Struthio camelus: one gene and its partners. Each later gene encodes a partner of the first gene's protein in a complex. Links are inferred from orthologs where the notes say so. Each region holds a gene or a part of one and is shown in the gene's direction. Other genes may lie near its edges.

Region 1 (7,679 bases):
GCAGGGATGGCGGCGGAGGGCTGAGACCCGCCGACACCCCCTTCTTCAGCAGCTCCGCAGTATTTTCCTGCTGCTTATGTCGAGTGCCAACCTTGGATGAGTCAACCGAAGCTGTCTTCTTCACGGGGCTTTTGCGTGGCGTTTTGTGCCCACGCTCGAAGAGCGGCCTGGCCGCTTGGCTGACAGCGGCTGCTGCTGCTGGCGTTTCGAGGGGGCTCTCCGAAACGCGGCCCCGGCTCGCTGTCCGCGCGCGCCGCCGAAGGAGACAGCGGCGCTGACCACTTTCGAAGGCCAACGTTAACACGAGGTCTTTGCCGAGCTGAGTTTCAGTCCTCGTTGAATCAATGCCTCGTTCCGTAGAAAGACACCTGTGGTAACGGAAACATTTCCCAGCTTCTCACGGGAGCTCTTGGAGTTTTATTTTCTGGTAATACTTGTTTATAACCTAATCAAATCTGGAATTCCCCTTGGACTGTACAAGACGTACCCCCGAACGCTCACCACCCCTGGTTTGGGTGCAGCGATCAGGATCACAAGCAGAGTTCAGCATCGCCTCAATCATGTCAAGTCTTGATGGATTAAGTCAGAGCTGTCAGAGAACAGAGTTGTCGTAGTGACTTGTTTTAGCCCAAGATGTCCTGCCCGAACGCTGCAAACAGCATAGCACGCCTCTCGGGGGAACTTGTGAAGTCTCAGTGTCTCGTCAGAATCACTTCTACGGCTCACGCGGAGAACGTGGTCCTTCTTAAAAAGCGCCGGAGTAGTTTAGGTAGCTCTTAGCGCCCCTGTGCTGGAGACCTGAGCACGTGGACGTCACCTGTGGTCGCTGCGTCAGTACCCGAGTACTGTCGCCACGCGAGAGTCTTGTTTTGTCCTCTCCGACTCCTTTGGCATCATGAGAAGGGGAATTTTTTTGTGGCAGCTTGTTCACGCACAAGAAAGGACAAACTGTGGAGTTACGGCCTCCGCCACCGAGTCTTGATGACGAGATCTGAAGTCAGCTTGTCCAGAGTCCGCTTGTCTTCGGAGCAAGTTTTCTAGTGTGCTTTCTATTCCAATTTTCTCTTTGAAGAGTTTGCAACTTCTCAACTAGCTTAACTAGAAAAGTAAGGGATGCATCAGAGAGTGATCGTTAACCACAAGCTCTAAATAATCTTCACTCACTCGTGAATTTTATTCGGATCGTGAGATTTTTGGGAAGAGTCCACTGAACTATTGTAAACTTCAAGTTTGGACCTGTTTTCTCACCCTGGAATAGCCTAGTCTGCAACAGCCAACAAACCGAGTTTCTTTTGTTATTTGTAGGTTTGTGGTGTGAAATCCTGCTCTCGGTGAAGTCATTCACAGACATCCCCTTGGTCTCTCCGGAGCTGGGATTTCACGCGAAGGCTGTGCTGCCCGAGTGGGCTTTTCCCGTTCTGGGTGAAGCCCCGGGAACTTCTCCACCCATGTAGTTTCGAGGTCTCGGACGTGTTGACTGCACACGTGGAAGGGGTAAAGGGAGAGAGGAGGTTCGCAGCGGAGGTTTTCATCTGCGCGCCAGCCTCGTCAGAGCAGAGCCAGCAGCCGGGACCTGGGGAACGTGCCGCCTCGCGGGAGCACTGCCCTTTCCTGGAACGGGCTCGGAAAGAGAAACGCGTATCCGATACCTCAGCCCGCTCTTTATCCCTTGAGGTTGCCACCGGCCTGTGACCCTGCCTGTTGACCAAGCGCTTGGTCCTTCTGCTCTCTCTGTGCTGAGGCCGGCTCCGGTTATCCCTGTGCTTCCTGGGACCTCCCCAGCCTGGCCAGCGACGCCGGGTCCTGGTCCAGGAGCGAAGCCCAGCCGTTGCCCGCAGCAGCCCGCAAAGAAGGGGCGCCTGCACTAGGGACAGGCGCGTGAAGGACGCCCAGGGTCTGGTCCCGCTCCGAGACCTGCTCCGGTTCCTGCTGCAGCAGGGCCGGGTGGGATCCCGGCGGGGCGACGCTTCCCGTTCCCCTCGGGGGCGGCAGGACGGCGGCAGCCGACGGCCCGACGCAGGGCCGCCGGCAGCTTTCCCTCCGCTTTCCGTGCGATGAAGGCGGCGACGTCGGCCTGTCTTTGATGTCTCGAGTCAGATAGGGAACGCAGGTGCGGGGTCGCGCTGAGCGAGGCAGCCCTTGGCAAAGGGGCTCAGGGACGCAGCGGGATCTGCCCCAGGAAAAGCGCTATCCATCCGTGTGACCCTTCGCTACAGCTCAGACCAGTCGCTTCCCTCCCCTGTGTCTGTCGCTAGTGGAGCATATGGTGGTGCTGTCCTCATCCGTGAATTCGTTCGTGCCGATTTTTTAAGCCCACTTTATCCTCCGGGTAAATAGAAGGGGGGAAAAAAAAAATCGTCCCAAATCTCGATTTTTTTAAAGCTTTTCTCCATGTCGTTCCGCTTTTTCGCTTGCTTGGCTTTTCCTAATCAATCTGGAATCCTATTCTGTGATCATCTCTAAATTAAACGTGTAATGGCTTTTTCTTTCTTTCTTTTTTTTTTTTTTTAATGTAACACATTTTTAAAGAATTAGGAAAAGGAGGTTTAGGTAACACCAGCAAAAATTGTATAAGGAAAATAATTCTGTTCTGAACTTTAGCAACCGTAGGACAAAACCTGTCCAAAAAAAAAAAAAAAAAAAACCCTGCCATAAGGAAATTAAAACTTTGGAACCATAACATTTTCAAAAGGATGTTTTAACTATTAATGTATGAGTGATTGTATTAGATCAGCAATAAAGACTCTGTAATCTCAAAACGCAAATAAAACATCGGAAAGGCGAGTGTCTGCGGCGCGTGCTTGGCGGCGGGGGCCGAGGCCGGCGCTGCGGCCGCCGGCTTTGCCCAGAAGGGAGGCGCAACCTGCCCGGGTTTTTTAAAAAAAAAAGCGGGGGGGGGGGCAGAAACCTGCGGGGGCCCCTGGGCAAAAGCGGGCGGCTTTCCAGCGTCCTGGTGGCTCCTTCCGCCGCCCCCGGGGCCGGGGGCAAGCGGAGGCCGCTGGCTGGGGTTACGGGCAGCTGTTTCGCTCCTGCTCCTGCGCTGCCCTTGGTGAAACCGGGCTGAATCGTGGCTGGGAAAAGCTGTTGCTTTTGCTGCGACGGTCGCCAGCGCCACCCCGGCCTTTCCCCGCCGCCGGACGCATCCTGCCTCGGCGCTGCCGCCTTAGGGGATAAAGGCGAAGGCTGAGAGGCCCCCGGCGCCTCGGAGGGGGCTGGCGGCGCCCTGGCGGGGACAGCGACCGGGGCGCGCTGCCCAAAGGCGTCTCTGCCCCCCCCGGGACCCCCCCAGACCCGCGGTGCCCCGAACCCCCCCGTCTCTGCCCCCCCCGGGACCCCCCCAGACCCGCGGTGCCCCGAACCCCCCCCGTCTCTGCCCCCCCCGGGACCCCCCCAGACCCGCGGTGCCCCGAACCCCCCCCGTCTCTGCCCCCCCCGGGACCCCCCCAGACCCGGGGTGCCCCGAACCCCCCCCGTCTCTGCCCCCCCCCGGGACCCCCCCAGACCCGCGGTGCCCCGAACCCCCCCCCGTCTCTGCCCCCCCGGGACCCCCCCAGACCCGCGGTGCCCCGAACCCCCCACGTCTCTGCCCCCCCCGGAAACACCCCCCAGACCCGCGGTGCCCCGAACCCCCCCCGTCTCCGCCCCCCCCAACCCGCGGTGCCCCGAACCCCCCCCCGTCTCTGCCCCCCCCGGGACCCCCCCAGACCCGCGGTGCCCCGAACCCCCCCCGTCTCTGCCCCCCCCGGGACCCCCCCAGACCCGGGGTGCCCCGAACCCCCCCGTCTCTGCCCCCCCCCGGGACCCCCCCAGACCCGCGGTGCCCCGAACCCCCCCCGTCTCTGCCCCCCCCGGGACCCCCCCAGACCCGCGGTGCCCCGAACCCCCCCCGTCTCCGCCCCCCCCAACCCGCGGTGCCCCGAACCCCCCCCGTCTCTGCCCCCCCCCCCGGAAACACCCCCCCAGACCCGCGGTGCCCCGAAGCCCCCCCCGTCTCCCCCCCCCGGAAACACCCCCCCCAACCCGCGGTGCCCCGAACCTCCCCCCCGTCTCCCCCCACGTCTCCCCCCCCCCCAGACCCGGGATGCCCCTAACCCCCCCCGTCTCTGTCCCCCCCCGGAACCCCCCCCAACCCAGGGTGCCCTGAACCCCCCCGTCTCCCCCCCCAAACCCGCGGTGCCCCGAACCCCCCCCGTCTCCCCCCCCGTCTCCCCCCCCCAAACCCGCGGTGCCCCGAACCCCCCCCCTTGCAGCCCTGCACCCGAAGGACACCCCCCCACACACACACCCGTGTCCCCGCCCCCTCCGAGGCGCGGCCCAATGGCGGCGTGGGGGGTGTGTCCAGCGGCCCCGCCCCCGGGAGGCGGCGGACCAATGGGAGCGGCGGGGGCGGGCCGGGGGCGGGGCGCGGGGAGGCTCGGCCCCCCACGTGCTCGGCGGCGCTGCAGAGGGGCGCAGCGCATGGAGGCGGCGGGCGGCGGCGCGGCCCCGGCCCCGGCCCCGCGGCCCCCCCAGCCCCAGCCCAAGGGCCGGGAGCTCTTCAGGAGCCAGCGGAAGGAGTCCGAGGTAAGGGCGGGGGTGGCCGCTGCTGCGGGCGGGCGGCCCGTCTGGGGCGGGGGGGGCCGGGCAGGGGTAAGGGGGGGGGACAACGAGGAAGCCCGGACGGCGCTTGGGCCGGGCCGCCGTCGGGGCGCGGGGGAGCCCGGCGGGGCCGGTGCCCCCTTTCGCCCGCAGGTCCGCGGGTTTGGCTGGGTTTGGGGTAGAGGCGCGGGGAAGGTGGGTTTTCTGCCGGATCCTTTCCCTGACCCGTTTCCTCGCAGAGGAGCGGGCGCCGGCCCCGACGGGGCGGCAGGCGCAAATATCCCTTTTCGCAGCCGGGAGCGTCCGCGCCGCCTCGGGGAGGCTGTCGCCCGCCCGCAGCGCGGGAGCGGAGGCGTCGCGACGTGGTTCCCGCTGGGTGGTTTCTCCTCCCGCCGCTGCCCCGCTGCTGTGACAGCGGTGCCGTCGGGCGGGCGGCCGAGTCCAGCCTTCCCGCGCCGCGGAGGTGCGAGTTCCCGGCCTTCGGAGGGGTCTCCCCTGCCTACGGCGGGCTCGCGTCCGGCCCCATCCCGCGTGAGGAGCCGGCATCAGGGGCGAACACCGCGAGTGCTTCGAGCCTCGGTGCAAAGCGGCAATGCCAACAAAACGCGCTTTCCACCCTCCTCCGTCATGCTTTAGAGTAACTGTTTGCGTTTCGCCGCTGAGCGCTGGGGAGCCGGGCACGGCGGCTCCCGAAATCCCGGCTGCCTTGGTGCCGCGGGCAAGAAGCGGCTGCGCGCAGAGGGTGTAAAATGCCTCTGCGGCCACCTCAAAGCATCGGGGTTAAGGACAAACTGGGGGAAACGTTGAGTTTTCGGACGTCCCTGGTTTTAGGCTTGATCCGGAGGCGGAGGGGAGAGGGCTGAGCCCCTCCGGGCCGGAGCTGCGCGTCCCCAGCTGCCGTGACCGCTAGTAACGACCATTTGCGCCGGTCCAGCCTGGCTGCCGAAACGGGATTCGGGGGCTCCGAACGGCAAATTAACCTAATTTACCGCGTTATTCATTGGCGTGTTTCCTCCGGCCGCCCGCGGCGCGCTCGGCCCGTCTCCGCCCCGATCCAGCGGAAGAGCTTCGCGCTCCAGTTACTCGCTGGGAGCGCCGCGTTCCCACGGGGCCGGGGCGCGTTTGCGGCCAAAGGGATTTCCTTGCCTGTGGGCTGAAACGGAGCCGCGCGGACAAGCGAAGGGACGGGGTGACGCCACGGGCGGCGGGTGCAGAGGCGTCAAACCGTCCCGGGGAAACCCGCCCGGGGACGCTGCAAGCAGCAAACGGTCACCGGCCGTTTGGGTCCTGCCGCGGCTTTCCCACGCTGCTGATGTGGCTGCTTTTCATGTGTTCTTTCCCAATTCGCGCTGTATTTTGAACAGTCCGAGCGGGCCCTGGAGACCCGTGGTGGTAACGACCATCGTCTATGCATGAGCTCGACGTGGAGGGTGTGGGCTCCCCGCGGACCGCCCCGATCGCCCCCGACGGCCCGGGAGCGGTCGCGTGGCCCCCCGGGGCAGTGTCGTGCCTCTCCGAGCCACGGACACCCCGCAACAGCCTGCGGGATAGGCAGCGCCACGGCGTTTCGCCCCTCTCCCCGCCTCGGCCGCTAACCGAGGATGCTCTCCGCAGGGCTCGGTGGACTGCCCCAACCTGGAGTTTGGGTACGGAGACGCTGACGGCTTCGCCGTGGAGCTATCAGGTACAGAAAGGGGCCGCAGCGGAGGCCGGGGCGCTCGGCCGCGTCTCCGCGCTGCTCGGCTACGCCTGGGTGCCTGCCGGGGCAAGAAATCCCGTGCGGAAGAGGGCGAGCTGGACAGGAGATGGCTCTTGAGTAGGCTTAGGCCTACGTTGATAGGGCTGGTGTCCAAGAAGGGCAGAGGTCGGTTTTATTTTATATTTTTTTCCTGGCTTGATCTGCCCCCAGGCAGCGTTGGCGCCGTTTACCGCGCGGGCGGTCGAACGCTGGGGCAGGCTGCCCAGGCGGGTTGTGGAGCCTCCATCCTTGGAGGTACCTAAAGCCCGACTGGACGCGGTCCTGGGTCCTGTTCACAAAGGGGTTGGACTAGACGGTCTCGAGGTACCTTCCTACCGCGACTCAGTTTTGCACTTCTGTGACACCAAGTCGCAGCCTTGCCTAGAAACCTGCTGAACAAAAAAAAAGCATGTTGTCCTCTTCTCCAGCCAACTAAAGGCTACAATATTCTGGGGTCAAAAATGATCTGGGAAAAAATGAAGGCCATGCAGCTGGCTGGAGGAACAGCCACGTGCCGTGCTGGATAGCGCAGGTTGGCAAGCATCTCCCTTTCCACCCGGCACGCGCATCTACACTGCATCCCGGGAGCATCCGGCCCAAAGCCGCTTCTCCCTGAAACACTCAAACCCGTCGGCCTGAAATCAGGGCAGGTTTCGGCTGGCTGCTCCTGTGGTCCCTGCTGTTGCAAATTGACTTAATAGTGACCAAAAATCACTCCCCCCCCCCCCACACACAAAAACCCTACAAAAGCGTAGCAAATGCAGTGCAAATATCTGTGCTGGCAGCCAGGACCAGGGTGAGGTCCCCTTCCAGACCTGCCTGGAAGTGGTGAAAGGCCAGAAAAAGAAACGGAAGGGAAAAAGGGACGAGAAAATCAGCTAAAGCTGCAGCGAGTTTCAGAGCGATAGCACTAGAGCTTTTCCTTATAACTTAGCAAGAGCTATGGATCCTATTTTGATTTGAATTGATTTCAGTGCCATACAGATCAGGATATCTGTGTCCTCTCCGGGGCAGATGGTGTGAGCCGGGAGACCCGCGGGTCCTCTGCCTCCCTTCCCCCTCCGTGAAATCAGGATGAGAATTAAGCTGAGTTTAGTAGCAACCTCCGGATGCCGCCGTGTCTGGTGGACCTGGGGAAGAGCTCCAGCATACGTGTTTGGCTTAAGGCTCGTGTCTCCTCGGGCGAGCAGGGCTGTTGAAGAGCCCGGTGAGCAATTTGGCAGTGAGGAGGAGGGTGAAACGTCTCCCAGTCGCTGCTGACCTCCTTTCCCCATCAGAGCTGTACAGCTACACCGAGGAGCCGGAGTTCGTCACCAACCGCAGGTGCTTCGAAGAGGACTTCCATGCTCAAGGTAGCTGCCCA
Region 2 (7,850 bases), about 160 Mb from region 1:
GCCTAGCTGTGCTGTCTTCCCAGCAGATGTCAGGGTGGTTGAAGTCTCCCAGGAGAACCAGGGCCTGTGATCGTGAGGCTACTTCCAGCTGTCTGTAGAAGGCCTCATCGATGACTTCCTCCTGGTCAGGTGGCCTGCAGTAAACCCCCACAACAGTGTCACCCATGTTAGCCTGCCCTTTAATCCTTTATCCATAGGCTCTCAACTTGCTCTTCATCCACCCCGAGGCAGAGCTCCATACATTCTAGCTGCTCCCTCACATAAAGGGCAACTCCACCACCTCGCCTTCCTGGCCTGTCTTTCCTAAAAAGCACATAGCCATCCATGACAGCATCCCAGTCATGTGAACTATCCCACCATGTCTCTGTCACTGCAATGAGATCATGGCCCTGCGACCGCACACAGATCTCTAACTCTTCCTGTTTATTCTCCATGCTGCGTGCATTGGTGTACAGGCATTTCAGAGAGCCAGTCAAGCATGCAAGCTTCCCAGGAGAGGTGCAAGAGGATCCTCCATAGCCATGTCCTATGCTGTCTCCCCTGGCTGTATGCACCCGCTGGAGGCATCCTGACTTGAGCAGTGTATTACAGACTCTCCTGCCACTATACCACTCCCCTTCCCCCATCTTGCCTAGATCCGTGTATGGACTTACACTTTTATCACTTGACTGTTTAGATTCTTTAGGGATCATTTGTGAAGAACCTTGTTAAAGCTGTTTTGCATTATCTGCAAATGCAATACATTTAAAATAAAAGCATTCAAAATGAAGCTCTAAAGACAAAATAGTGAAAATTTTATTATGTGTACAAAGTACACTAATCTATTAAAAAATTATATATTTTTATACAGGTTGCTAAAAAGGTTTACTAAGTACAGAAACTGATCAGTAGAAGAAAGAAAACAGGAAAGCCTGAAGAGCACGGATAAAGACAATAAAGAAATGAAAAAAAAAATCCAGCAACAAGTTTAGCGATGAATAATCTGGTAGTATCATTTGATTAATTGTTCCACAACCTTCAAATCAAGGATGCTTGATGATTATGGTGACAGGATGCAACTGCTGCCATACAAGATGGACCAACTCCATCCTGTCTGCTGGGGAGGCTCCATAATACCATAGCCATGACTCTACTGCAAGCAATGGGATCGCATATTCAGCCCTCTCATTCTTTTCTGTTCACTATGTAAATTTGCGCCTTGTGCTATTTATCTGCATAAAGATTCCTTAATCACCATTACATTTTTCACGCATTATGTTTTTAGACAAATGCCCCATCTGTTACAATCCATAATGTTTTCAAAATATGAATACTGATTTATTTATGCTATATTATATATTACAAAGTTCAAAAGAGAGAAGCTTTTGGTACATCTTTCTTGTTGGAAAACATCAATAGTCTGACATTACTCATTTGAGAAGAAATTTTAGTCTTGGTCAGTAAGGAAAAAGGTAATTTATGAAAGGAAATTCATAGTCATTGCTGTTACAATGAATAATACTCTTCTTTCCTAACTTTTTTTCTTGTACAACCAGCAAAGCACAACATCTCTGAATATGTGAAGTACTGTTTTAAGTTGAAAGTGAATCAGGTGTTGTGAGCCAGCACATAAAATAACTTAAGTTGACTGAATTTTTGCATGTTGGAAACATCTGGCTTCAAAAAGATACAATAACAGGGAGCCAGCTTACTAATAAGAATTGTTTATTTTCAAAGTCCTTATCATTGTACTAGAATAGCAGGCTGTCCTAATGTGCAAACATTCTATTTTAAATGAAGATTTCTGCAAGAATAGCCTTTCTTTGGAATATAATATACAAGGGCTGAGAAACAGAGAAAAAATTGCAAGGCTTCTGTTATTTAGTCTATGAGGAAGAAACTGAAGGTTAGGCTAAAAAATTAGCATTTACAAAAACAACAACAACATACAGAAAAAAAAATCATTATTTTAAGATTACATTTAAAACTAGTTTGGTTAAAATTTCTCTACGTTCAGAAGAGAAGTTGGAATTGTACCAGAACATAAGATACAGTATAGAATACAGAAGTTGACAGAAATTAGGAATTCTAATACACTGTTCTTAGTTCATTAGAACTTAATTTAGACTGATATCTGCTTTGCATTTTGGATCTGCTCCTTTGTTCCCATGTTTCCTTTGTTTCCCTAACAAGTAAATCTGCTCATAGAGCTTATTCCACTGGCTCAGTCATTTGTTAGGCATAGTGTCTTGTTGAGTATGTAATGCAGAGCCATAAACTTCGGAACCTCGAAACTTTGAGGTGAAAAAAATCCATCATCTTTACTCAGTGAAGGAATATAAGCAAAAGATGGTTAAAATAGTTCAAATGATTTCACATTGGCCCTGGGCTAGGACCTTACATGGGGAAAGTTGCTTCAGATCAGCTAGAAGATGGTAACTTTTTCTGTGTATACTAATGGATAAAACATAATCGCTTTATACCTTTTCTTAATACAAAAGATGAAGCTTAGTTCTATACCCTTTGTATTTTTCACTCTGCACTGAATGTGCAAGTGCAGAAAAAGTAAGGCAGCTGGTAAAATGTGGATTGTAATGACAACATAGAATGGAGCAGAGTTAAAGCTGCATAGGTAACAGCAAACCTGACACTGTCTCCTTGGGGATTTTTAGTATTTTGTGATGTAGCTAAAGCTAAATGGTATTAATAGGACAAAGAAAAAGGCTCATCTACAGCCCACTGCCTTTCTCACTAGCAATTTAAAAACATACTACAAACAGTGGAGTAAACCATGGAGACATCAAAGATTTTTTTTTTAAATAAAGATTGCAAAAATATTTTAAGATGGAAAACAATCTAAATAGAAGGTTTGATGCCAATTCTTTTTATAAGTCTGTTATTTAATCTGATTTTTGATTGAAGTAGAACTCATCTAAATGAAAGCTTTTACATTTCTTAGGAAATTATATATTAATAAAGAGGTGAGGCATTTTCATGTTTTTGAAAGTTTACAGAATTTAAAATGTATTCCAGCATTAAGTAAACTAGCAACTCATTCATAAATAACTAATAAAAGAATTCCAGTAGTTCAAGTTTCTATACAACTTCTATCCATCATCCGTTCCATGTTTCACTGTACTCAGGCACTGATAAGTCTAGTCTAATTTCTAAGGAAAACAAGATTTATGGGATTGTGTGTGTGTGTGTGTGTGTGTGTGTGTGTGTGTGTGTGCGCGCGCGCACGCCTGTATGTGCCTGTATGAGGCTGCTGGCTAATTTCATTCACATTTCACTGAAGGGTAAAAATCTTGAAGACAGTTAAGTTTCTACAAGTTTCAGGAAGACAAGTGTGCAGCATTGGCTCAGTCCATATTAGACATACACAAAAAAAATACCGTAACTACGGAAAAAAACTTCAGTGGGAGAGCCTGTGTCTAACCAAATGTCCAAGAGACCATGTTATACTTTAAAGCTTTCCAGCAGTTACGAGATTTGTACAAACTCTCTCTAGTGGGCTACCTACTGAAAGGCAATTTACGCTACAGTGGAAGCTCACCCCTTTTCTGTAGCTCCCAAACCCACTAGAAGCTAGGCTTCATTAATTTCACCGTTCATGAAACTACCTATTCATTTGGGGTGGGGGGGAGAAAGGGAGAGAATCTCATGGCATAATTAGCATATTGCTAAATTTATGATGTAACTCTTGAATCTCAGTTTAAACTGGCCAAACACGGGAAATACAATATTAACATGTTCTTAAGGGTGTTAAATGGGTTTCCAGGGTTTCTCACGAGGAGGGGAGACGTGGACTGCTGGCCCTCTCTTCTTCCCATTTAAGAAGTACTGTAACAACATCATGACTATTATTTTGGCTTAGCTCTTTTGCAACTTCTGACAGGAAGTCAAGTGCTTCCTGAAACCATAAACCTCAGTAGGGCTATAGCATTACTGTGACCTTTCTTAAAGCGTCCAAGTGAAGGGGAGGCAGGAAAAGGACATACCAGAAAATGTCTAGCGTTTCTGCCATCTTGATCTATCATCTCACTCCGGTTTCTTTATTTTAAGCGTGCAGCCTCTCCGCCTGACGCTCATCTCGTTTCACCTGCTCTGTTTCACTGACAGCCAGGAAGTTGCTCTTGATTTCGACTGTGGGAAAGGAGAAGCAGGTCTTCGGGTTGTGTGTGTGTGTGTGTGTGTGTGTGTGTGGAAAAAGAAAAGAAAAGAAGAAAAAAAAAAAAAGAAAGAAAACCCAAACCCCCAAAGGCCGTAGCACAGGGGCCGGGCAGCCGGTGCTTTTAGCCTCGAAGACGACGCCAGCCCAGCGAGCTGCCTGGGGCTGCCGGCTCGTACTCCCGCCGCAGGGCCGGGAGCGCCGGAGGTGCTGACGGCGCTCAGGCCCGGGGCGGCGGGTCTCGTCACACCGCGCTACGTGCGCCAAACCTCCGGGCGTTTTGTCCCTTCGCCAACCCCCTCCCCGCGGCGGGGGCGCGGGCGGGCGGCCGTTCTCGTTCCGTTATTTCCCCGCTCCCCTTCCCGCCGCCGGCCGTTGGCCTCCGAGCTCGCGCGCGCGCCCGCCCGCCCGCGGGCTGGTGGGGGCGGGGCAGCGCGTGCAGGTAGCCGGGTAGGAGAGGCGGGGCGGGCGGGCGAGCATTCCCCGCCCCTCCCCCAGGTTTGTCGTCGTGTGGCGGCGGGGCTCCGCGCGCCGTCGCACCAGTAACGGCCGCTCTGCGCGCGCGGCAGGGGGCGGTTGGGGGGGGGGGAGGAGGCGGAGGCCGCCGTCGCCGCCGTTGCATCCGTGACGGGGCCAGAAGAGCCCAGGCTTGGGACAGCCCCTTTCCCACCGCCTAGCCCGCCCGCGCACAGGCGCCGCTCGCACGGGGGAAGGGAGAGAAGAAGAAGGAGGAGGAGGAGGAGGAAGAAGAGCAGCAGCAGTTTGTATGTGTGTGTGTATGATGAGCTCAGCCCCGTCCCCTGGAGGCGCCTGAGGGGACCTGACTCCCCCCACCCCCCGCCCCACTCTCTGTCGCCGCCGCCATGGCTCACTCCCCCGTGCAGACGGGCCTGCCGGGGATGCAGGTGAGCACCAACCGCCGTCCCCTCTGCTGCCGCGGACGTTGGATGGGGGATGGGCGGGTCCCCTCCTTCCCCCCCCCGCCCACCCCAAGGGCAGGCACGGACACGCACCCACGGCGAGCGGTGGGGGAGGGGAGCCAGGGCTTGGTCCTTGTATCCCTTCCCTGTATTGTCTGCCCGGAACCGGCGGGGCTCGGTGGGGTGGGAAAGGAGGGGAGGAATAGTGTGAAAGGGGTGCGGGGTCTGGGGTGAAGGGCGGGCGGGTGTGGTGCCTGGCGGTAAGGGGATGCCCTCAGGCTAGAGGGACAGGGCGAGGGGGAAAAAAATGCCTCTTCACTCTGACTCGGTCTTGAAGAAGGTGGCGAGGGGGGGTTGGCGGGGAGGAGCCGGATCTCGTAACCCCTGGAAACAAAATGTGCTGTCAGCACTTCACATAATGCATAGCAAGGTCTCTCTGCTTAGTGAATCCCTCCCTTTCTCATTGCTTAATAGCCGCTGTTTTGATGGAAGTGTGCTTGGTAACCCCCCCACCGTCCAGTAGTTCTGCCGGGCTGTTTTGATTCATGAAATGAAACTTGTCTTTAGAGACGATTTTCAGTCCCGTTATTTTGACGTGGCTAGGAAAAATATGCTCTCCATACGTAAAAACAGGGCCTGAAAACGTTGACCTTCAACGTGTGCTGCAGTGCCCATCTCGGTAGAACTGGCTAGTGGGGGTGCTGTTTGAGGTGGATGTTTGGAGATTATATTTGGCTTCTGTGTTTGGCTGTAGGAGTTGGTTAGCTGTAGCTGTTATACAGTGGGATTTGCTGTTTTTGTGTTGTAACTGTATTTTTTAAATAACTGATGTGGTTTTCTGGTGACTAAACTGGCTTTTTCCTTGTTTTCTTTTTTTTTTTAGTCCAAATTCAATAACAAAGTACTGCCAGAAGAACCTTAAGGTCTTTGGTGTTTGTGTGTTATTGTAATATTTTCTGTGTATTATTAGACACTTCCCTGTGCACCCCTCCCGCAGCCCCCAAAAGAAATACTTGTGACTGGGACATAGAGTTTTTCTGAAATTATCTTCAAGGTTAAAAGTTTTTGTGCTTCATTTGGTTTCAGTATTGATTTACTTTGGATCATTTTCCCATGAATCAGATTCTAGTTCATGAATCTTACATCCTTGCATAGCCTGAGGATTTGAATTTAAAATGTTATATTTGTGCGTAAATCAAAATAACTACTCTACTTCCCACAAACTGAGGGGAAAATGGACAACTAATAGTTAAGAGTCAGCTTGAAATTGTGTATGTTGCCACCTGCATAATGTATTTTTCCTATTCACATTCTTTGTACTCTGGCTTTGCTTTCCTTCTACCCTGGAGAGTTCTCAGCTTCTTTGTACCCTGCAAAGCTATTCATCTGCAAATATCTTTAAAATCACCCCTTATGTATTGCTTGAAAGATATGGACATTTTTTTAAAGGAGAAATTAAATGGAAAATAAACTATTTAAATGTCCTAAAGTTTGAATCATAGAAGTCATGAGAAAAAAATGTGTTTCTTAAGAAACTTCAGTAGCATGTTGAATGAATGGTTATGTCAATGCTCAGGCATATAGTACTAGATGCCAAATGAGTACATAGGCCCTCACTCTAAGTGTGTATATTTGTCACTCTGTTGAGTGTTCAAGTTCACCTTCCAAATGCAAGCAGTGTGCTCATCTCCAAAGACAGAGAGGTAACAGTTTGTTGCTAACGGTAGGGCTAGATTAATGTTGCATTTTTTTTAATACTTTGAAATATTTTAGAACCAATAACGCTATTTACTTTTTTTTTTTCAAAAAGAGTCATAGTATTTTTGAATTTAAAAAGTTGGATCTGGAGATGCTGGGAAATAAAGAGAGCAAAGTTTATTCCTGCAGTTTGCATGCAGTGCTTATATATGTGATTGCATGATCTCTCAAAAGACCTAGGTTTTCTTGGCTTATTATTTGATTTATTGTTTAATTTGTAGTACTGTTAGCTGTACTAACCGGATAGATATTCCTTTTTTTTGTTGTTAGTCCATATAATTTGGGAGTTTACTTCAGATTTTTTTATTCAATACAGTATTATTTTTCACACAAATTTTTATTGTATTCTTATGAGTGAGTTTCTTGAGTGTTTTTGAACATTAACAACTATGTAAAAAAAAAAAATAAACCCAAAACCTACAGATAAGTAGGTGCATAAAGTTCAAGGTCGGTAGTGTGAAAATTACTTGCTAATTTTCTTGCCCAGTAAAAGATGTCTAGATTTGTTCCCACTTTGCCAGAGTGTATAGCAATTTTATAGTGTTTGGTTTTCAGTACATGATTCTCTTTGACTTTATCTGCAGATGAGTGCTCAAACTGTGTACCGTTAAGTACATATAATTTGTCACAGCTACTTAAATAAAGCAAAGTTTATGGTTTGTGACTTTTCATTATGTAACAGAGAAAGGAACAGAACTCAGTTCTCTGGAGCGTGCTTAAGTTGCCTAAATGACGGGACTGTATTTTCTTCCTGTACTGTGATCCCTTCTCCCCACCAGCAGATTTTGCAACAAATCTTGGAAGTAATGTCAGTGAGAAGTTATACAGCTTTTTCTGGTGTTTATTACTGTCCTTACATAAGAGGGCAATCAAGTGTAAACAAGAGTCAGTTCTTGACACCCCAAAATCCCATGTTGGGACAGTGCCTTGTTATGCTGTTTGATCTGGGCAGAGTAGTGCATAAATAGAACAGAGGAATTAAGGGTTAATCTATTTCTCTCTGAATAACATATCGGTGCTTA
Region 3 (8,124 bases), on another chromosome or scaffold:
CACGTCGTTGGCGAAGTCCTCGAACTCCCGCAGCAGCACGGTGACGCCCGGCGTCAGCCCCGGCGCGGTGTTGTCGCCGCCGGCCCGGGGCCGCGGCGGTTGCGGCGTCCCCCAGCGCCACACGCAGAGGAGGAGGAGGAGGTTGAGGCCGATGGCGGCGCACAGGGCGGCCTGGCAGGGCGGCAGGCGCATGGCTGCGGTCACGGGGCGGCGCGCGCGGCAAGTCGGGCGGTCTCAGCGGGCTCCAGCCATAGTGGCGGCGTCACCCGCGCGGTGAGTCACAGGCGGAGGCCGCCTGACAGCAGAGTCACACGTGCAGCGAGTTGCGCGGCCTCTGCAGCTGTCAACTGCAAGGGCAGTGTCACACGTGCCACGAGTTCCGGGGTCTCAGCAGCCTCCGGCCACGATGCCTGTGCCACACGTGTAGCGAGTTGGGCGGTCTCAGCAGCCTGCACCTGTGATGGTGTTGTCACACGTGCGGCGAGCGGGGCGGTCTCAGCGGCCTCCCCCACCGTAGCAGCGCTGTGAGGAGGGAAAAGGAGCGTCAGGGAGGGGAGGGGCAGGGCCCGGACCCCCCCCCTCGTTAGCGACCCCCCCTCGTTAGCGACCCCCTCCTTGTTAGGGGCCCGCAGGTGCCTCAGAGGCAGCAGCGCTCCCAGCTGAGGCTTCGCGGCGTTGGGACACGAATGGCCACGGCGACGGGAGGGGAAGGGTGTTGTTGCCACAGCAACCCCATCCCTAGCAACACCGTACCAAGCGATAGCAATGCTCGAGCCCTTTAAGTGTACGTGTGTACACAGCCAAACACATGCACGTACCTGTATGTCTCTCTATGAGTGTGCACCCCATACGACTGTGCGCGTGCCTGTATACCTCCGTGTACCACTGTACACACCTATACACCCATGCAAACGCTTGTACACCTCCATGTACCAGTGTACATAGCTATATACCCATACGAACGCTTGTATACCTCCACATTACCAGTGCATACAGCTATATGACCCTGCGCACGCCTGTACGTCTCCCCGTACCACTGTACACCCCTATACACCCATGCGCATGCCTGTATCTCTCATGTACCAGCGTACACCCCTACACCCCTGTGTGCACGCTTGTATACCTCCATGTGCTGGTGTACACCCCTATACACCTGTGCGCACAGCTCTATACCTCCATGTGCCAGTGTACACCCCTATACACCTGTGTGCATGCCTGTACCCCTCCACGTGCCAGTGTACACAGCCCTACGACCGTGCGCCCACCTGTATATCTCCACGTACTGGCTGGTGTATACCCCTATACGCCTGTGTGCATGCCTGTAGACCTCCCTGTACCAGTATAGACAGCTATATGGTTGCATGCACACCTGTCTACCTCCGTGTGCCGGTGTACAGCCCTATACAGCCGCGTACGCACCTGTATACCTCCACGTGCAGGTGTACTCACCAATACACCCGCACCTGCATCGCTCCACGTACCGCTGGACACATCCATCGGCCCAGGCGCGCCTGTATTCCTCCGCGTGCCGCTGTACACACCTGTCTACACGTGCGCACACCCTTTTACCCCCCCGCTCCTCCGTGACCCTGCACACCCCTATAGACCCCCGTACAGCCCCGCCACCCCGTACCTCCCTATAGCCCCCACACCGCCCCGTGCCCTGGTGATCACCAAATCCCCCCCGTGTCTCTCTTCCCCCATAGCCCCCTATACCTCCCCATACCTCCTATAGCACCCCCCTACCACCCGTACCCCTCATAGCTCCCTATAGCCCCTCATACCACCTATAGCCCCCATAGCCCCCTATAGCTCCCCATACCCCTAGAGCCCCCCCATAGCCCCCACACCACCCCATACCCCGGTGACCACCATACCCTGCCGCGTCCCCGAACCCTCCATACCCCCTATAGCCCCCCCATAGCCCCTGCACCGTCCCGTACCCCGGTGACTGCCATACCCTGCCGCGTCCCCCGTGCCCCCCCGTACCCCCTATAGCCCCTATAGCCCCCCCATAGCCCCTGCACTGCCCCGTACCCCAGTGACCGCCATACCCCGCTGTGTCCCCCGCGCCCCCCGTACCCCCCTATAGCCCCTATGGCCCCCCGTACCCGCTATACCCCCCTATAGCCCCCCATACCCCCCTATAGCCCCCTATACCCTCCCTGTGGCCCCCACAGCCCCCCCACCACCCTGTACCCTGGTGACCACCATACCTCACTGCGTCCCCTGCGCCCCCCCGTACCCCCTGTACCCCCCCTATACCCCCCTGTGGCCCCCCTATACCCCCCTGTGGCCCCTGTAGTCCCCCCATAGCTTCCGCACCACCCCGTACCCCAGTGACCGCCATACCCTGCCGCTTCCCCCACGGCCCCCGTACCCCCTATAGCCCCCCGTACCCCCTATAGCCCCCTATACCCCCCCTGTGCCCCTATAACCCCCCCATAGCCCCCGCACCACCCCATACCCCAGTGACTGCCATACCCCGCCACATCCCCTGTGCCCCCCTGTACCCCCTATATCCCCCTATAGTCCCCTGTACCCCCTATGTCCCCCTATACCCCCCGTGGCCCCTATAGCCCCCCATAGCCCCCGCACCGCCCCGTACCCCGGTGACCGCCATACCCTGCTGTGCCCCCCCCGTACCCCCTATATCCCCCTATACCCCCCCGTACCCCCTATATCCCCCCATACCCCCCCGTACCCCCTATATCCCCCATACCCCCCAGTGGCTCCCACAGCCCCCCCATAGCCCCCACACCGCCCCGTACCCCGGTGACCGCCATACCCCGCCGCGCCCCCCCGTACTCCCTATATCCCCCATACCCCCCGTACCCCCTATACCCCCACACCCCCCCGTGGCTCCTATAGCCCCCATACCCCCCCGTGGCCCCTATAGCCCCCCATAGCCCCCGCACTGCCCCGTACCCCGGTGATTGCCATACCCCGCCGCGCCCCCCCGTACCCCCTATACCCCCCTATACCCCCCGTACCCCCTATATCCCCCATATCCCCTATACCCCCTATAGCCCCCATACCCCCCCGTGGCCCCTATAGCCCCCCATAGCCCCCGCACTGCCCCGTACCCCGGTGACCGCCATACCCCGCCGCGCCCCCCCGTACCCCCTATATCCCCCTATACCCCCCGTACCCCCTATACCCCCATACCCCCCCGTGGCCCCTATAGCCCCCCATAGCCCCCGCACCGCCCCGTACCCCGGTGACCGCCATACCCCGCCGCGCCCCCCCGTACCCCCTATACCCCCCATACCCCCCGTACCCCCTATACCCCCCCATACCCCCCGTACCCCCTATACCCCCCGTACCCCCTATACCCCCCATACCCCCCCATACCCCCCCATAGCCCCCCATAGCCCCCGCACCGCCCGTACCACGGGGCGCCGTTGCCCCGGCAACCGGCCCTCAACCACCCCCCCCCCGCGCCAGCCGCCGCCGCCTCCCCCCTCCCCTCCCCTCCCCGCGCGCGCCTCTCGACGTCACTTCCGGCGGCGGCTCCCTTTGTGGCAGGAAGCGGCGGCGGGCGGCCCCGGGCAGCGGCTCCCTTTGTGGCAGCGGGCGGGAGCCATGATGGAGGCCGAGCGGGCGGCGGCGCGGGCCCAGCCGCCCCCCCCCGAGCCGCCGCCGCCCCCCCCCGCCGCCGCCGCCGCCGAGCTGAGCCTGCCCGGCATCCTGCACTTCATCCAGCACGAGTGGGCCCGCTTCGAGGCCGAGAAGAGCCGCTGGGAGGCCGAGCGGGCCGAGCTGCAGGTAGCGGCGCCGGTACCGGGGGAGCTGGGGGGGGGGCGGGGGTACCGGAGCCGCCGCTGCTGCTGCCGCCGCCGCCATCTTGGGAGGAAATGGCCGCCCGGAGCCATGCCGGGGGCGGGACCGGCAGCCGGCACCGGGATGGGGGGGGGACCGGGCACCGGGGGGAACCGGGACCGGGAACCGGCACCGGGGGGGAACTGGGGGTGGGGAACCGGGACCGGGGGGAACCGGGCACCGGGGGGAACCGGAACCGGGGGGGAATTGGGGGTGGGGAACCGGTACCGGGGGGGAACTGGGGGTGGGGAACCGGGCACCGGGGGGAACCGGGCACCGGGGGGAACCGGAACCGGGGGGGAACTGGGGCTGGGGAACCGGGACCGGGCACCCAGGAGGAACCGGCACCGGGGGGGAACTGGGGGTGGGGAACCGGGACCGGGGGGGAACTGGGGGTGGGGAACCGGGACCGGGGGGAACCGGGCACCGGGGGGAACCGGAACCGGGGGGAACTGGGGGTGGGGAACCGGGACCGGGCACCGGGGGGGAACCAGGCACCGGGGGGAACGGGAACCGGGACCGGGGGAGAACCGGGACTGGGGGGGAACTGGGGGTGGGGAACCGGGACCGGGCACCGGGGGGGGAACCGGGACCGGGGGGGAATTGGGGGTGGGGAACCGGGACCGGGCACCGGGGGGGAACCGGTACCGGGGGAGAACTGGGGGTGGGGAACCGGGACCGGGCACCCAGGGGGAACCGGTACTGGGAGGGAACCGGTACTGGGGGTGGAGAACCGGGACCGAGGGGGAACCGGGCCCCGTGGAAGAACCGGGACCGGGAACCGGAACGGAGGAGGAACCGGGAACCGGGCACCGGGGGGCAACCGGGAGGGAACCAGTACCAGGACGGAACTGGGGGTGGGGAACCGGGACCGGGGCGGAACTGGGCACCGGGGCAGGGGGAGAACTGGGACCAGGAACCGGAGGGGGGGGAGGGAACTGGGAATCGGCACCAGGAGGGAACCAGTTGGGGGGGGGAACTGGAAGGGGGGGGGGAACCAGCACCGGGGGGGGGGAGCGGACCAGGGGGCACCGGGAGCCGGTACTGGGTGGGTTGGGGGTGAACCAGGAACCGACACCGGTGGGGAGGGGGCACTGGGAACCGGCTGTGTGGCTGCGGGGGGGGGGGCATGTTACTGGGAGGCCCCAGGGTCTGGGGGGGACCCGCTGCCTTTGTGTGCCGGTATTGGGGACCCCCCTGCCCCGGTAATGGGGTACAGGGTGCCCCCCCCCACTCCGATAACAGGCACCATGGTAACGGAGACCCCACCCCCACCCCGGTAACGGGGTCCCCTGCTATCAGGGCCCCCCCCCCCAATATTGGAGGTAGCTGCCCCATGCCGGAGCACCGGCTGTTCCCCTGCGCCCCGATGGTGCTCCCGGTACCGTCGGCACCGTTCCCGGTGCCAGCACTCTCGGTACCATCGGCATCGCTCTGGTACCGGCAGTCCTGGTACCATCGCTACCAGTGCCGTTAGCATCACTCCGATGCTGGTGTTCCTGGTACCGCCGTTCCCGGTACCATCGGCATCGCTCCGGTACCATTGGCACTATTCCTGGTACCACCGCTGCCAGTGCCGTTGGCATCGCTCCGATGCTGGCGTTCCCGATACCGCCGTTCGCAGTACCATTGGCGTCGCTCTGGTACCATCGGAACTATTCGTGGTACCACCACTGCCAGTGCTGTTGGCATCGCTCCGATGCTGGCGCTCCCGGTACCATCGGCATTGCTCTGGTGTCGGCAGTCCTGGTACCACCAGTACCGTTTCTGGTACCGTCGTTCCCGGTACCATCGGCATTGCTCCGGTGCCAGCAGTCCTGGCACCATCGGCACAGTTCCCGGTGCCATCGCTCTGGTGCCAGCACTCCTGGTACCATCAGCATTGCTGTTGGTGTCAGCATTCCTGGTACCATCGCTGCTGGTACCATCGGCGTTATTCTGATGCTGGCATTCCCGGTACCATCGCTCTTGGTACCATCGGCGTCACTGGTGCCAGCAGTCCTGGTACCATCGGCACCGTTCCTGGTGCCGTCACTCTCGGTACCATCAGCATCGCTCTGATGCTGGTGCCTGCAGTACCATCGGCATCGCTCCGGTGTCAGCAGTCCTGGTACCATCGGCACCATTCCTGGTACCATCGCTCCCAGTGCCCACCATTCCTGGTACCATCGCTCCCAGTGCCATCAGCATCCCTCTGATGCCGGCGCTCCCGGTACCATCGGCATTGCTCTGGTGCCAGCAGTCCTGGTACCATCGGCACCGTTCCTGGTACCATCGCTCCTGGTGCCATCGGCATCGCTCTGATGCTGGCGCTTAAGGTACCATCGGCATCACTCCGGTGCCAGCAGTCCTGGTACCATCACTCCCGGTACCATCGGCATCACTCCGGTGCCAGCAGTCCTGGTACCATCACTCCCGGTACCATCGGCATCACTCCGGTGCCAGCAGTCCTGATACCGTCGGCGCCGTTCCTGGTACCACCGCTGCCCACGCCACCGGCATCGCTCCCAGTACCACCGGCAGCGCTCCGGGTACCGCCGGCAGCGCTGCAACCTTCGCGGCGGCCGCCTCCTCTCCGCTCCTCCTTCCCGCAGCCCGACGCCTCCGGCAGCTCCCTCTTTTTCCCGTCTTTTTTGTTTTTCCCGGGAACGCGGGGTCGGGGGGGGGGACGACCAGCGCCGCACCACCGGCGCCGCACCACCGGCCCCGCTCAGCGCGGCCTCGCCTCCCGCCAGGCGCAGGTGGCCTTTCTGCAGGGCGAGCGCAAAGGCCAGGAAAACCTCAAGACGGACCTGGTGCGGCGGATAAAAATGCTGGAATACGCCCTGAAGCAGGAAAGGTAGGAGAGGGCGGCGCGGAGGCGGCTCCGGCGCAGCCTCGGCCCGAAGGGGAAGACGCGGAAAATCCCGGTTGTGCCGCACGCGTGTGTTTTATTTTTTCTTTTTAACCCCCTCCCTTTTTTCCTTAAATCCCCCCAGGTCTAAATATCACAAGCTGAAATTCGGCACCGACCTCAACCCGGGCGAGAAGAGGCCGGAGGCGGCGGAGCCGGGTGAGGGAGCCGGCGGAGCCTCGTCCCCCCCCCCCCCCCCCCCACTTCTCCGGCGCGCTGACCCCCCCCGTCGCCCTCCCCTCGCTCCGTCCTCTTCTTTCCCAGCCGCCAACGGCCCGGCGGAAGCGGCGGCGCCGGACGGCAGCCCCTCGGCCTGGAAGGAAGGACGGCAGCTCCTGCGGCAGTGAGTGCCGGGAAATCGGGGGGGTGATATTTGAGGGGGGGGGGGCTTGCCCCGGGCTGTCCCGAGCTGCCCGTTCTCAGCTCCGCCGCCGCAGGTACCTGGAGGAGGTGGGTTACACCGACACCGTCCTGGACATGCGCTCCAAGCGCGTGCGCTCCCTGCTCGGCCGCTGCTCCGCGGGCGTCAGCGGAGCCGCCGACGGCTCCGAGCCGGCGCTCCGCGGCGGAGACTCGCCGCTCGTCAGGCGCATCGAGGAGCAGATTCAGAGGTGAGGGGGGGGCTCCGGCACGGCACAGCCCGCTCTGGCTCGGGGGGGGGGCTCCGGCTCAACCCGGCTCGGAGAGGGGGGCTCTGGCACAGCCCGCTCCGGCTCGGAGAAGGGGGCTCCGGCTCGGAGAGGGGGGCTCCGGCTCGGAGAAGGGGGGGCTCAGTGCAACTTGCTCCAGCTCGGAGAGGGGGGGTCTGGCTCAGCCCGCTCTGGCTCGGAGAGGGGGGGCTCCAGCTCAGCCCGCTCCGGCTCAGAGAGGGGGGGTCTGGCTCAGCCCGCTCCGGCTCAGAGAGGGGGGGCTCGGGCTCGGTGTGTCCCGCTCCGGCTCGGAGAGGGGGGGCTCCAGCTCGGCCCGCTCCAGCTCAGAGAGGGGGGGTCTGGCTCAGCCCGCTCCGGCTCAGAGAGGGGGGGCTCGGGCTCAGTGTGTCCCGCTCCGGCTCGGAGAGGGGGGGCTCCAGCTCGGCCCGCTCCCGCTCAGAGAGGGGGGGTCTGGCTCAGCCCGCTCCGGCTCAGAGAGGGGGGGCTCGGGCTCGGTGTGTCCCGCTCCGGCTCGGAGAAGGGGGGGCTCCAGCTCGGCCCACTCCGGCTCGGAGAAGGGGGGGCTTAGTGCAACTTGCTCCAGCTCGGAGAGGGGGGGTCTGGCTCAGCCCGCTCTGGCTCGGAGGGGGGGGGCTCCAGCTCAACCTGGCTCGAAGGGGGGGGGCGGGGCTCCAGGTCGGCCCGCTCTGGCTCGGAGAGAGGGGGGCTCAGTGCAGCTCGGCCCGCTCCGGCTCGGAGAGGGGGGGCTCCAGCTCAGCC

What was found.
Region 2: STRIP2 (region 1) and STK24 share a complex: the UniProt entries of both Homo sapiens proteins name them as parts of the core of STRIPAK complex. The link is inferred for Struthio camelus from reciprocal best matches to the Homo sapiens genes STRIP2 and STK24.
Region 3: STRIP2 (region 1) and STRN4 share a complex: the UniProt entries of both Homo sapiens proteins name them as parts of the core of STRIPAK complex. The link is inferred for Struthio camelus from reciprocal best matches to the Homo sapiens genes STRIP2 and STRN4.

The regions. Positions count from the first base shown.
Region 1 is NC_090942.1:1,695,348-1,703,026, forward strand, and holds the start of STRIP2 (striatin-interacting protein 2), read left to right. Parts: upstream 1-4,440; 5' UTR 4,441-4,458; coding exon 4,459-4,563; intron 4,564-6,192; coding exon 6,193-6,262; intron 6,263-7,506; coding exon 7,507-7,668; intron 7,669-7,679. UniProt on the Homo sapiens protein: Plays a role in the regulation of cell morphology and cytoskeletal organization. Required in the control of cell shape. Calmodulin-binding scaffolding protein which is the center of the striatin-interacting phosphatase and kinase (STRIPAK) complexes.
Region 2 is NC_090942.1:164,904,791-164,912,640, forward strand, and holds the start of STK24 (serine/threonine-protein kinase 24), read left to right. Parts: upstream 1-4,721; 5' UTR 4,722-5,013; coding exon 5,014-5,055; intron 5,056-7,850. UniProt on the Homo sapiens protein: Serine/threonine-protein kinase that acts on both serine and threonine residues and promotes apoptosis in response to stress stimuli and caspase activation.
Region 3 is NC_090957.1:1,875,557-1,883,680, reverse strand, and holds the start of STRN4 (striatin-4), read left to right. Parts: upstream 1-5,049; 5' UTR 5,050-6,125; coding exon 6,126-6,661; intron 6,662-6,800; coding exon 6,801-6,874; intron 6,875-6,979; coding exon 6,980-7,058; intron 7,059-7,152; coding exon 7,153-7,326; intron 7,327-8,124. Other genes in the region: ribitol 5-phosphate transferase FKRP, read right to left, coding at 1-192. UniProt on the Homo sapiens protein: Calmodulin-binding scaffolding protein which is the center of the striatin-interacting phosphatase and kinase (STRIPAK) complexes.